Neodiprion lecontei: one gene and its partner. The main gene of each other region encodes a partner of the protein of the gene in region 2 in a complex. Links are inferred from orthologs where the notes say so. Each region holds a gene or a part of one and is shown on either strand. Other genes may lie near its edges.

What was found.
Region 1: E3 ubiquitin-protein ligase listerin (region 2) and nuclear export mediator factor NEMF homolog share a complex: the UniProt entries of both Drosophila melanogaster proteins name them as parts of the ribosome quality control complex. The link is inferred for Neodiprion lecontei from reciprocal best matches to the Drosophila melanogaster genes Ltn1 and Clbn.

The regions. Positions count from the first base shown.
Region 1 is NC_060261.1:7,470,016-7,476,964, forward strand, and holds nuclear export mediator factor NEMF homolog, read right to left. Parts: upstream 5,051-6,949; 5' UTR 4,967-5,050; coding exon 4,911-4,966; intron 4,782-4,910; coding exon 4,610-4,781; intron 4,539-4,609; coding exon 4,336-4,538; intron 4,211-4,335; coding exon 3,120-4,210; intron 3,053-3,119; coding exon 2,872-3,052; intron 2,792-2,871; coding exon 2,490-2,791; intron 2,379-2,489; coding exon 2,180-2,378; intron 2,042-2,179; coding exon 1,732-2,041; intron 1,654-1,731; coding exon 1,388-1,653; intron 1,301-1,387; coding exon 1,102-1,300; 3' UTR 962-1,101; downstream 1-961. Other genes in the region: serine/threonine-protein kinase VRK1, read left to right, coding at 1-322, 434-703; 40S ribosomal protein S16, read right to left, coding at 5,602-5,747, 5,994-6,108, 6,431-6,562, 6,707-6,751, 6,847-6,855. UniProt on the Drosophila melanogaster protein: Key component of the ribosome quality control complex (RQC), a ribosome-associated complex that mediates the extraction of incompletely synthesized nascent chains from stalled ribosomes as well as their ubiquitin-mediated proteasomal degradation.
Region 2 is NC_060260.1:8,073,604-8,079,357, forward strand, and holds the start of E3 ubiquitin-protein ligase listerin, read right to left. Parts: upstream 3,491-5,754; 5' UTR 3,341-3,490; coding exon 3,296-3,340; intron 2,911-3,295; coding exon 2,701-2,910; intron 2,645-2,700; coding exon 2,378-2,644; intron 2,309-2,377; coding exon 2,193-2,308; intron 2,108-2,192; coding exon 1,753-2,107; intron 1,673-1,752; coding exon 1,485-1,672; intron 1,405-1,484; coding exon 1,269-1,404; intron 1,142-1,268; coding exon 449-1,141; intron 348-448; coding exon 128-347; intron 44-127; coding exon 1-43. UniProt on the Drosophila melanogaster protein: E3 ubiquitin-protein ligase component of the ribosome quality control complex (RQC), a ribosome-associated complex that mediates ubiquitination and extraction of incompletely synthesized nascent chains for proteasomal degradation.

The DNA.
Region 1 (6,949 bases), on a different chromosome or scaffold from region 2:
GAAGAGTCCTCGTATGCAAAAGACAAGAAGTCCAAGTCCTGTATCAAACGCACTTAATGACAGTGATCTTGGATCGCTTATAATTTCTAGTAGGAAAGGAAAAAGAGTTCAAGATAAGCGAAGAATATTGAAGAACATTGAGGTCACAGATGATTCGGACACGGAAATTGAAATAAAAATCAAGAGAAAGAAGAAAAACAAAAAAGATGAGAATTCAGAGGTGGTTAATAAAGATATTGGCCAGAAACCATTGAAACGAATAACAAAAAAATCACAGAAGCAATATGACCCTGATGAAACAGTATCTGATGATGAAACAAAGGTATTACATATTGAAGTTATGCTTCTATTAATTTCTTTCGTTGCCTCCTTTATGGATATTTAAATTTTTGACACTGCAGTGGTCCGATCATTTAAAGGTTAATAATTTTAGACACAGGGAACTAAATCGCGACCAAAAGTGCTAACAAAGCCAAAGAAGAAACTCATTGAATCAGAAGAATCGCTAGTCGAAAACAACAGTGATGAGGACATGTTTGGCGACGATGACGAGGACGTATGTAAGACATCGTCCAAAAAGCCTGCAAAATCATGGAGAGATGCTCCGACAGTGAAAAGTAGTAACACCATCAAACCGGGGGAGTATAAAAGTGTAAATAAGAGTAAAACACCAAGGAACAGGAGAGTTAACTTGTGTTCCTAATAAATTTCACCACATCGTACTAATTCCAATGAATATTTTCATTTTAAAGTTTCCGCCCTTTAGACGTTATCAGCTAATATATACATTATTTCACTATCAGCAACTACCCTATGTTACTATTCCTGTATTGATAATGATTGTGATTAAATATTTTGAATCATTTTTGTTATATCTTCCCGATTGATCAGTATGTTCATTGTACAATAAGCTATGAAATAATTATCAGGTGAGTGTTGAAATAAGGTCGTCCAAAGATTGTTTAGAATTAAATATCTTTTTTTTTACGGAATTGCATACACATATATACAGCCTGTAAAACCGGTACGACTATCACGTTTTGACCACCATCTACACCTCACTTGAATACAATGATCATGATGTTTCATTAACATGATTCCTTACTTTTTCAGTTTTTGCATTTGCGGAGCACTGATTTTGACCTTTCCAGGAAGGTTTCTGGCCATAACTTCATCTTTAACTGCCTTCAATAGATCCTTTTCTCGAGGCGTAGTTCCTCTATCTCGCAAAAACATCGCTACAGCAGTTTTTGCAGCTTTGCCTCTTTTCCCAGTTCCTGGAGTTAACTTTACCTTGTATCTGTATCAAAAAATATAATGATAACGTAAACATATTTTGCTCATTTAAGGTAAGCAAAATTTTATGAATCACTTGAATTTCACGTACTTATAGTTAATAAGAGTATTATAGGGAGCAACTATCGGCACAGCAAATAGTAACTCATCTTCTGCAATTGGCTTGCCAGTCAATTGATCCAACATATCTATTTCCGGAGCTGGTCCCACATCTTCCTCCCCATCTTCTTCGTTATAAGGATTTACTGTCGATACTTTTGGCATATAAGCTGTTCCCTTTTTTTTACCCTGCTGTTTTGGTCCAGAGGGATCTTTGTTTTTATTTTTACGCTTATCTTCTTTGGCTGCCCCTGCCGGCTGTAAATTTAAAGACCTGAACTAGCAATTTGTAACAGCTTTTGTACTTCTCAGCCACGAAAAATATCATGTACTTACCTTCAATGCCTCCATCAACCGTCTTCTGTCTTCTTCATCCTGATCTTTATATTTTTCTTTGATTTTTTTCAACTTTCCTTTCTGTCCTCTTTTAGGTAATTCGCGATCTTTTTGTTTAGATTCTTTTTCATTTTTGTTGTCTTGTTTTTCGGGTAATTTTTTTTCTTGATCCAGTTTTGACCCATCTTTCTCTTGTTTATTTGTTAATACAACGGGTTTGCCATCCCCAAGGTAAATCACATTCTCTTCTTGTTCTGTGAGCTTATTCTGAGGTTTTGTATCTCTTGTTGTGTTCAAGTGAGGTTTCAATCTATTGCAAGTAAGATATAAAACATAAGTGCAACAAGATAAAAGAATAAACCTAAAAATCTTCAGTGTCTCTCAAAGTTATAACTACAAGGCAAAATACTAGAATTGATTTATAAATAATTTCTGTTGAGAATCTTACGTTTTACCAGGCAGATTAATTTTTATCTGTGTGTTGGGAAAGTGTGGTCCTTCGTCAGAATCACTACCACTATCTTTTTCTATTATATCACTTTGTTTATCCGACCTGGATTTATCAGCATCGTTTAATTTCTCCGTTACGTCGGATTCTCCTTCTGCAATTGGTAATAGTTGAGTTTTCTGTGTTGCAGTATCTTCCTCTGTAAGAAAAGTTGAAACAAAGCATCGAAAGTTATCATTGTCTCCTCTAAGGGTAAACAATATTTTATCACATTAACATTAAAACAAGGTAAATATACCCAATTAAATACCTTCATCATTAGAATCACTTTCCAATTCAATCTCGTGATCTGACAATGCATTTGTTTCAGATGTAATATCTTCTTCCAAAGTTCGAACTTTTCTTTCGTCTTTATGACGCTCGATAGAACTTTCCTCAAGTCGAAATAAAAAACCCAATCCCATTACAAGCTGACATGGTGGTAAATAATTTTTTTTTCCACGTATCATGAATGATCCTGTGGTCAGGTATTCACCGGTTGGTGCTGTTTTTGATACTTGATCACTGTTTACCCACCAGGCACCGGCTACAACTTTTGCCTCCCATGCAACGCTGAAAATAAAAAGGTACTTTGCTCACTCTTACTTCAAGTTTTCCCTTACACGACACTTGCTACTCCACTGCTGTATCACCTGTATGAAACTGCCATAGTCCCTGCCTCTGCCAAAGTCTTTGGCGGTATTGGACCAGTCCCAGAATTTTTTACTACAATGGAACTGGCCCCAGTCAAATCTGCGTGAACATAAACATCCCCCTGTCGAAGGTACCGTTTTACAATTAGTTCGTTTTGCTGCTGATCTCTGCCACCGATTACTGGAAAAACATTAGCATTAACACCGGATAAATTATTTGAAAAACGATGTTAATTTTCAACACATACTCAAATAATTTTCAGAACTGATGAACCAGTAGAACTTTTCAAACCAGTACACTTTTCTTGCTTTATTGATACTGTGTATGGTTTGAACTTCTTTTAATGCCTGTTTAGTTTTCTTCTCTGCAGACTTCAGTGCTTTTCCTTGTGACTCGATTGTCTTTTGCTGTTTCTTTGCTGCTGATCGTTTTTGATCGTAATATCGCCTAGCATTCCCGAACGCTGAATGAGCTAAGTCAACGTCAATAATCATTGGTTTTAACTCAGGTTCATCGTCATCACTTTGGTCACTATTTTCATATGGATCGCTCAGAAGTAAACTGATATGATTCGATTCTAATTTCAGGTGCTTTATAGCAGCTGCAACGGGATCTCCTCTGGCTTGAGCTTCCTTCAAAAGCGTTTCTATATCTGGCCAAGCCATTTGATTGGCCAGAGCACTTTGAATCGCTAAAATAGCATTATCCACTAAAACTTGATTCCGTGTAATCAGTTCCGCTTTTTGCTTATCCATTTCTTGTGTCTTTTCTAAGGATACAAGTCTCTGATCATGGTCCTTTCGAACGTTGTCTAACTTCTTCATAGCTTCTCGTTCCTGTTGTAAAGCTTTCAAGTCCAATTTTTGTCCTTCAAGACCAGAGAAAAATTCGTCTACCGCACGATCGAATGATTCAAATTCTTTAAAGGGGAGGTTTTTGTGCTGTTCGAAAAGCATGGGATGAAATTCTACGTTTGCAAAAATGTAATCTTCTTTTCCATCCTGCGAAGGTCTTGCTTCCTTCTTCTGTGTAATGTAACCCTTGCTTATGCTTTTAATAGCTTCTGTAAAAATCTTGTCAGCCGCCTCAAGAGCAAGAACTAATTTTGGAAAATCGTTGGCTACATCGAAATTTTTTCCAATTTTACAATTGACTGGGAAACCTGTCTGTAATAGAACATGGTCTATAATAGCAGGGCCGAACTCTAAGTGTGGGTTTAAAATTTTTTTCAATGGCTCTCCAGTTTTTCCACTCAACACACATTCATGGATCTGTTCCATTGGTGGCATAGTCGTCAAGCGAGCGCGATCGGATGGATATTTTTCTTTCACAGCAAACCTAAGAGTGTTTTATAATCGTCCGATTATATACGAGTTTTACAATTTTATAAGGAAAGATACTTCTTTCAGTAATGAAGTTCAATGTTTACTTTGGAGTACATTTAGCATTATCTCACAACACACCTTACTTTCTCTCCCTCGGTGTGAGGCCTCAAGATGTTTAAAATATTCATCTCATTATCGGTAAGCACAATATTCCCACGATCGTACAATTCCAGAATGACATGATACCCTGCTTCTCCTGTGCCAAATTGCATATCTACTATGCGGTCAACTCCCAGCTGCTTCAAGCTCTCGAGACGTTTGTTTTTCAAATGTTTACGCATCTACATAAATTGCCCAAGTATTAGGAATTTGAATAATAATGTGTAACTGCACAATAAAAATCGAATTTCACCTTCATGCTGAAGCCAGAAGGAGCAACATTTTTGGGCCATTCAAAAGCGGTTGTGTGAATTCGATTTCCTGACTCCAGAAGAAGAACGACTTTCTCTTCGCTACGCTGTAAGCGAATGAGGTAAGTTCGATTGTCTATGTCATAAATTTGGTTGACACGCATCCCGATGAGCCTGAGTATTCAATGAAATCGAATGAACATTGTGATTAAAAAACTTGTAATCGGAATAAAACTAAAACAGAGATATAACCTTAAATTATTTTCATTTGAAATTATTTTCATTTCACTGAAATTTACCCACCTTTGCAGCTCTGTGACAGAGCACACAAGATCGTACGTATTAAATCGAGTCTTCATATTTGTATTTACTCATAAATTTGACGTATCGAAAATTTCGGAAATGTTTGGCACATTTCCGCACGTCTGTCAACAACGACGGGACGGCTATTGAGGGCTCTATTGCAAACCTACAATACATATGCATACCTCTGCCTGCATACGCGCAATACGTGAACACATCAGTAATCGAGAGGCGTACCTCAGGATTGGTAAAAGCTAAAATTTGACCCAACATCATGCTAACAATAAACTTGAGTAGTGAAAATTATTATAAAAGTATTTGTTCTTGAAAAATAAATTCCTTAGTTACAGATATTAAAAATAAATATATTTTTTCACACATTTCGAAGCCACAAGTTCAAATTTTGCAGAAGTATTTTGTTCCATGGGTAAAAACTATATTTTTTCCAAATACTTCTTCCTGAGTTTAATTGAAGAAATAGGAATAAACGAAAAAAATTTAATATAGGAATAAAGAACGTAAGAGCAAACATGCCAAAAATTTATCTAGAGTCTTAGATTCAAGTAACATGATAGAGCTAGTTATCTAGTGAAATGAAGACTCCGGCATCCATTTATTATTTTTGTACACACCATTTATTTCGGTCTTTCACAGATAGAATATAAAATGACATATACAGTTATAAGTGTGCTTAACGGTAAGACTTCTGGTAGCGGGCACGAGCTCCCGGTCCACCAAACTTCTTCGGCTCACAGCGTCTCGGGTCCGCAACAAGCAGGGTTCTGTCGTATTGAATGAGCATGTCTTTGATCTCCTTTTTGCTCGCTTCGTCGACATCTATAACAGGAAGAATATATCATTTTACTAGAAAATAGTTGCAAGATTCTTCAAAAGAAAGGTGCAATAATTATTACATAAATCAAAAATTGAAACAAAGATTTTTCTTGACACCATGTAATAAAATTAATGGTATTACACAATTTATATATGTATACAAACATATGCTGTCTTGGTCATTAATTAGACTAGCATCTTATAGAATGGAAAGAATACAATTCATAATAATCCATGATCAATACTTACACTTTTGGTAGTACGAAACTAAAGCTTTAGAAATCGCCTGACGAATGGCATAGATCTGGGCAACGTGTCCACCTCCATTAACCCTTACTCTAATGTCGACGGCTGAGAATTTCTCCTAAGAAAAAAAGTATAATTTCTATGATCAATTTGTTAGTAGGTGTTTTGACAGTACAATGCATGAGTTAATGTTAGAAGTCTCAGATTCCTTATTTTATTTCATTCAGAAAATCATTTTCGGAATAAGTAAACATCACTGTTGTAAAATAGGTGCTAGAAACCAACACATTTGCCTTGATGAGGTTATTTTTGAGGTTAGGATTAGGCGGGTGAGTCGATTGAATAAAAAAAAAACTTCATTGAAGTCGAAAATATAACGTTTAGGAAATGAAAGTGAGAAACGATGGAAAATAAACAGTTCAAATAATACGAAACCTTACCTTGCCGAGAAGGAGAATTGGCTCCTGAAGTTTGTACTGGAGCACTCGCGGCTCGACCATTTCCAAGGGACGTCCATTGACTCTGAGGTTGCCACGACCGCGTTTGCAATAAGCAACAGCGGTTGCGCTTTTCTAAAGATAATAAATTGATGATTACGGATGGGTGGAAGGTGTTTAACGAGTTTCTCAACGTCAAAAAGCCGACTAACCAAACGCGGTCGCCATTTTTTCGAGCATGTGAGCCAGTGAAATATGTAAAATATCATTCAGGCTTACCTTGCGGCCGAAGACCTGCACGGAATGAATGGGCTCTTTCTTTGTCTGTAAAAGAGAAATATTTTTTATTAAAGCACGGTTACTGAACGTTCGAATTTTTTCAAAATAAATATTAACTCGGTTCGGTGACGCCAAAGTACCTTCTGCATTTTGGAGGGTTCCTCGTGGAAAGGAAGTTGAGTGTGTATCTCGAATACCTCACCGTCAAAAGAGCACTACTCTAGTCAACAACATTATGGAATG
Region 2 (5,754 bases):
ATTGAGACAATGTCATCAAATGTAGAATCACTGATAATTAAATCTGAAAATGCAAAGACGCGATTATTTTTAAATGTACTGTTATAGAAAATGATGAAAAACAAGAATAATTAATACAGTAACTAACCGGTATTATCAGAACACTCGAAACATTGCATGAGAATTTTTTTGTTCACATCCAAATCGATGGTAGTTTCATTAACAGCTACTTGTTTAGTCACATCTAGTAACACAGACGACACTTCAGCTTGTGAAAACCACTCTTTTACTGCAGGATCCTTCCTATTATGTTTGAACAAAGCACACTTGACCGCATGCCTAAGGATTATTTTATTTTCGTTCTGTAACTGTTGTAAGTTTGCACTTTGTATATTTGTTTGGACAATTTATCATAAAATTTATTTTCAAGACATTTTTGAATTAATTACTTATTGGACGGAATATCTACCTCTGATAATGAAGCAAGAACTGTTTTCTTGTCCAATTTATCCAAATATTTGATGAGGCTGAACAATAACATTATCAATAGCTCCGTCTGTTCTGGCTTTTCAATCAACCATTTTCTCAAAGTCTTATTGTAAAAATCGAGAAAACTGGTATCTTTTCCACACGATTTTGTCAATGCAATAAAAAGGTCTTTGCTTTCAAAGTTTGTGATTAATTTATAACAGGTTAACATGACAGCTGATTCAGAAGAATCTTTATTGATGTTATCAAAATGAACGGAAGTTATTTTGTTGATTAGTTGAGCTAATTCTGTACAATACTTCAGGTCTTCTTCTGGAACTTTAGGCAAAACTTCGTCGCTTTTTTCTGCTCGGTCGTTTGAATCAAAAAATTTGACTCTCAAATTTTTGCGAGTCTCTAATGTGGTATTTTTTAAACTGAGAAACAAGTCCAGCAATGAGTCATACAAGTTTGAAATGTGAACTGAATCAAAATTTGCTTCAGTAGAATGAATTAGATTCAAAAGTGTCTCCTCAAGAGTAGACCAAAATTGTTGAACTAAATGACCATACGACTTGTAATCGGCGACGCTTCGATTTTTACTCCAATAACGAATGAGCTGGCTTATTTGTTTAAAAATCAAAGGTTTCACTGGTGAAATCTCTACCAAACACCATTCCAATGTTGGCATCAACTAGAACGTGAAAATAAAATATATACTTTACAAATTTTGGTATTCCAAATTTAACACTTACTTACTTTCATTGTTCCTAATGATCATCACTTGAGTTATTAATAGTTAGTATTAAAAATAATTTTACCTGTTGTTTCAGTAAAGTTTCGCACAAGATTTCATCCTCATTATTCAAAAGAATCACATAACGCAAACACTCGACGAATGCAGTGACCACTGCCAGCATCTCTGAGTAGCTGAGTTGAACGCTCTTGACTTTAAAGCTGTACGAAATAATTATGATTATTTGTTTGTTTCACTTTCTATTTGCTGCCCAATTACTTTTACTTAGGTGAACAATTACCCCTTCCGTAAATTATTAAAGAAATTTGTGTAAAAGTTCATCTTGTTCTCGTTTTGTATAGGAAAGTGGCTGATGAAGGGCAGCAAATTAGGATAAATTGCATTGGCGCTGCCATTACCTCCTTCTCTTAAAACATGCCACAACTTAGGTATTATGAGCTTTTCAATGCTGACTACTGTATGCCAACCCTAGAGAACATGAATTAAACTCTAATAATCAATTTGCTAATTCTGCAGCTGAATATGTACATTGTCATCCTTTCTATTACCTCTATTTTACATATTGCAAGAAGCACAGCCTCCCACACAACTGGCAAGACACCAGGATCTGTTTCATCAAGATTGTTCATAATGGTGGTGATCAATTTCTTTTTCTCGTTCTTGTACAATTCTTCGGCGTGTTGAATCATTGAGGCAAGAACATTGAAGAATCCAGCTCTGACTAGAGGTATTTCATGTTTAACCAATTTCCAGAACTTATTGTGTGATAAAATTTTATCGTGAATCTTTGCCACCTTCTCTATTTGCTGAGGAGAAATTGTTTTCAAGTATAAAGAGTATCCTTGTAAACTTGATATCAATAATCTCTGGTATCTCATGTCCATTTCTTCAGGTGTAACTGTCCTTAAAATCAAAGAAATTAATAAAAAATTTCATATGTCATTGACACATTACCCTCTTCACAAAAATACATAGTATTTTTGCATACTTATTATTTCCAAGGGTTTGCGGCGTTTGATTTGTTATATTGTCGCAGATGTAAGTCAAAATTTCTTCCTGACAGTGTGCAATTGCGTCTGCTAATTTATTTGGTGGGAATGTTTGCTGTAAAAAGTAAATGGGAATTACTTGCGGTCTGGAAGATTGTTTACCTGCTGTTATTAATTATTATACCTGGAAAGCATTGGTAGCAGCAGAGGCTGCAGGCGCGTATGTATCATACTGTGACGTAAACCACGGTCCAGCCAGCTGTTTCAAATACGGAGCGATATTTCTTCCCGCAGGTTTAACAATGGCCAAATGCGCCACATGCGCAGCTTCTCTAACTCTATGTTCCACATCAATAGCAAGCAGACAATATATGCGGGGCCAAAATGGAAGGACTGCTAGAATAGTTTTTGCGGTCGAGTTGTTGCATAGCTCAGTAAACTCCTGCAATGCCTGTAAAATTTTCTGAGCATAAAAATACCGAACCAACAAATTCAACGAGGATTCACCTTTAATTTTGTCGTTCCATCTTTTTTATTCATTTTCTTCAACAGCAGTTGAAAGTGAGAGTCCAGTTTACTCATGTCGATTTCGTCCAAGGTACTAATCGTTAGTCTTGGTAAGAGGGGAATATATCCTCCATCCTTTGCCCCTGAAAACCCAACGAAGTTGGGCATTGAGGCTTCGAGCAGCTCTGCACTGCGACCGCTACTTGATGGCTATAATAAATAGTTGAACTCTTCAATTTTAGACCATTTGTATCAACAGATATAGAAAATGATGAAATAAAAAATTGGACATCAAAATATTAGATTTATTAATCTATAAGCTGCCAGTCAAAGACTCTGGCAGGGATATGAAGATTGGTATCTCTGTCTAAAACAGCCAGCGACACACGCTGTCATCGTTACAAATGTACTCATAATACAATTGAACAAAATATCAGAAAACAGCTAGTCAGTGAAACCCTGTGGATATCACATTCGGTGAGTATTAATTGAATAAAAAATAGGCGGGTGACAAAGCGAATTATTCGGTAAAAAAATTGAACATATTTTTCTGACAGCAGATTGCTTGTAATAAAACTTGTTGTCACGCACTTACCCTTGCATTATTTTTAGTACGTTGTGCCTGTTTGTTTTTTCCCATTTCAACGAGTCTCTAAAATAAAACTTCCAGACTGTATTATAGAAACTGTTCAATATTATTAATGTTTTGACAAATTCAACCCTTGAAGAATTTCTAACCACATTTCAGCCAGTGATGTCCGTGACTTACGTATCGCTCCACAGTGTATAAAAAAAATGTAGAGATACTAACAGCTTACATTTCACAACCCTAAAATTCGGTCAATCAGTAGTGCTCTCTGCGTCGCGCAACTCAAGTCGGTAAACGGTCGGTACGTAAAGACGACAGGACTAATATTATCATCACGTGTACCCAGATGGTTGATGCAGTGTCGGATGTTATTATGACTATGAAACGACCACCGAGCCGTACACCGTCGCCAACCCACAACCATGCAAATTCATTTACGGCGATTCATTTCAACCCAATTCAGCAATGTTAATCTTACTGCATCTCCGTCATATCGACAAAAATAATTTTATTTGAATCCGTGCACAACATAGATATACACGATTGGCTGTTAGAAACCAGTTATTGATATAAACAATAGGAAAATAGCCGGAGGTATTATGAAGGACATATGTAATGGTACTTGTATGTAACTTCTGTCCTTGTAATCGGCAATGTCAATCTAACTCCACCGGATAAACAAAAATAACATTATCTAAATAGATGCGCAATAAACATGCACATGGTTTACTGCTAACAGAGTTAGAAAAACCACTTCTTGATGCAAAGGATGGGAGACATAGTCAATACTATATATAGGATATCAGAAACTCACGAATGGATATCACCTAAGGATAGATTTTCCAAATTCTTTATGATCAAATTTTCATCAATTATCTACAATATCTCTGTCAAAAAAATACAGACGAAAGGTTGTAAGACCTTTCGGAAGCTTCAAGAGTTTTCCGCTTCCAATAATCCATTGGTTTTTTCTGAGACAAGATTCTGATCTATCGAAGTTTTCTGTAGATTTCCGCAAACAGAATTTACAAATTTTGCAGACCTAGGTAGAAGAATTTCATGAAGTGAAGCGGAGACATTGGTAGAACGTTAATGAGTTACATTACATATGTTAAAATTACAAGGAACTTGTTAGAAATTCATGTAATTGCTTCGTAAGTATCCAAGAAATATGTGTCGTTGATGAGTTATTGGAACAGCATCGGGATCCAATAGTGGGGTGATTGTCAGTTTTGGAGAAATATATATATACATATAGGTAAAAAAAAGCGCAGGTAAATTTGAATTTACGAATTCACTTTAACTAAACTAGAGAAATCCGACGGTATTACGATTCCACATGCATTACATGTTATTGAAGCATGAGTTTTATTGACAATGCTTAAATTTACGCAAGAATAAAATTGTCATTTGAAAAACTACAATATGTTAGTATTTCACCAGTGAAAATAAGTTCACTTATGCTCGTTTCCACACCACCGCAAGCGGTAGAGCACCCGGCGCGTTTTTTTTTACGTGGTATCCCCAGTAGGCCTACTCCACGGAGAATACTTGCAAGATCGATCTTACGTTCTTCGAAAACTTGCACATGACTTTTTTTCACATGTTAATTATGGTAAATTGTTTTTCCCAATCAATTTGAACTCGTGTATATTCGCAGTTCAGTCGAAATTTTTCACTTCGTATATCCCGCTGACTATTTATTATCGATGAAAGATGATTGTTTTAATTATAGATGAAAGATGGTTGTTTTAATTATGGATGAAGGGTGATTGTTTTTATCTTATAAGTGAACGTGAATTGACTTTGGATGTTCGCGCACGGGTTTTTTCCTATGAGGTATGAGATGATCATTAAAATGGAGAACCTGGTGAATACGCAACACAATCAACAACTAAACCAAGATTGAAAACACGAATCGCTGTAAGACGTTGGCATTTACCTATTGAAAGACGATGCAGAAATCTTTGAAGAAATGGAAACGAATCTGAGTAGAATAAGCACAACCACCAAAATACAACAGAGCTGTATAATTCTATAGTGAAATACAAATCGAACATGACCTATGAGCGACTCAAGAAAAAAACTACAGCAATAAATTGTACCACACTTTGTAACCACCAACTACATCGCTAAATCTATATATCGGTGAAAAAAAAGATGACTGACTCTGAACCAGACCTGAACTAGACTTAAGCCATACCTAAGCCTGAAAAATGAAGCGTTAATTTTTCAGTATAGTCATTAAAACTCAGTTACCTGGAACAGACGAAAATATAATTAGTAACATATGTCGATACAGGCAGAAATATACTTATCTTAAAATTAGGTAAATAAAAACTGTAATTAACGAAATAGAGACACATTAATTAATTGAAACAGACATAAGATTTAATTAGCTGAAACAGACAAAAGGCTTGATTAGCTGAAATAGACAAAAAGTTTGATTAGCTAAAACAGACAAA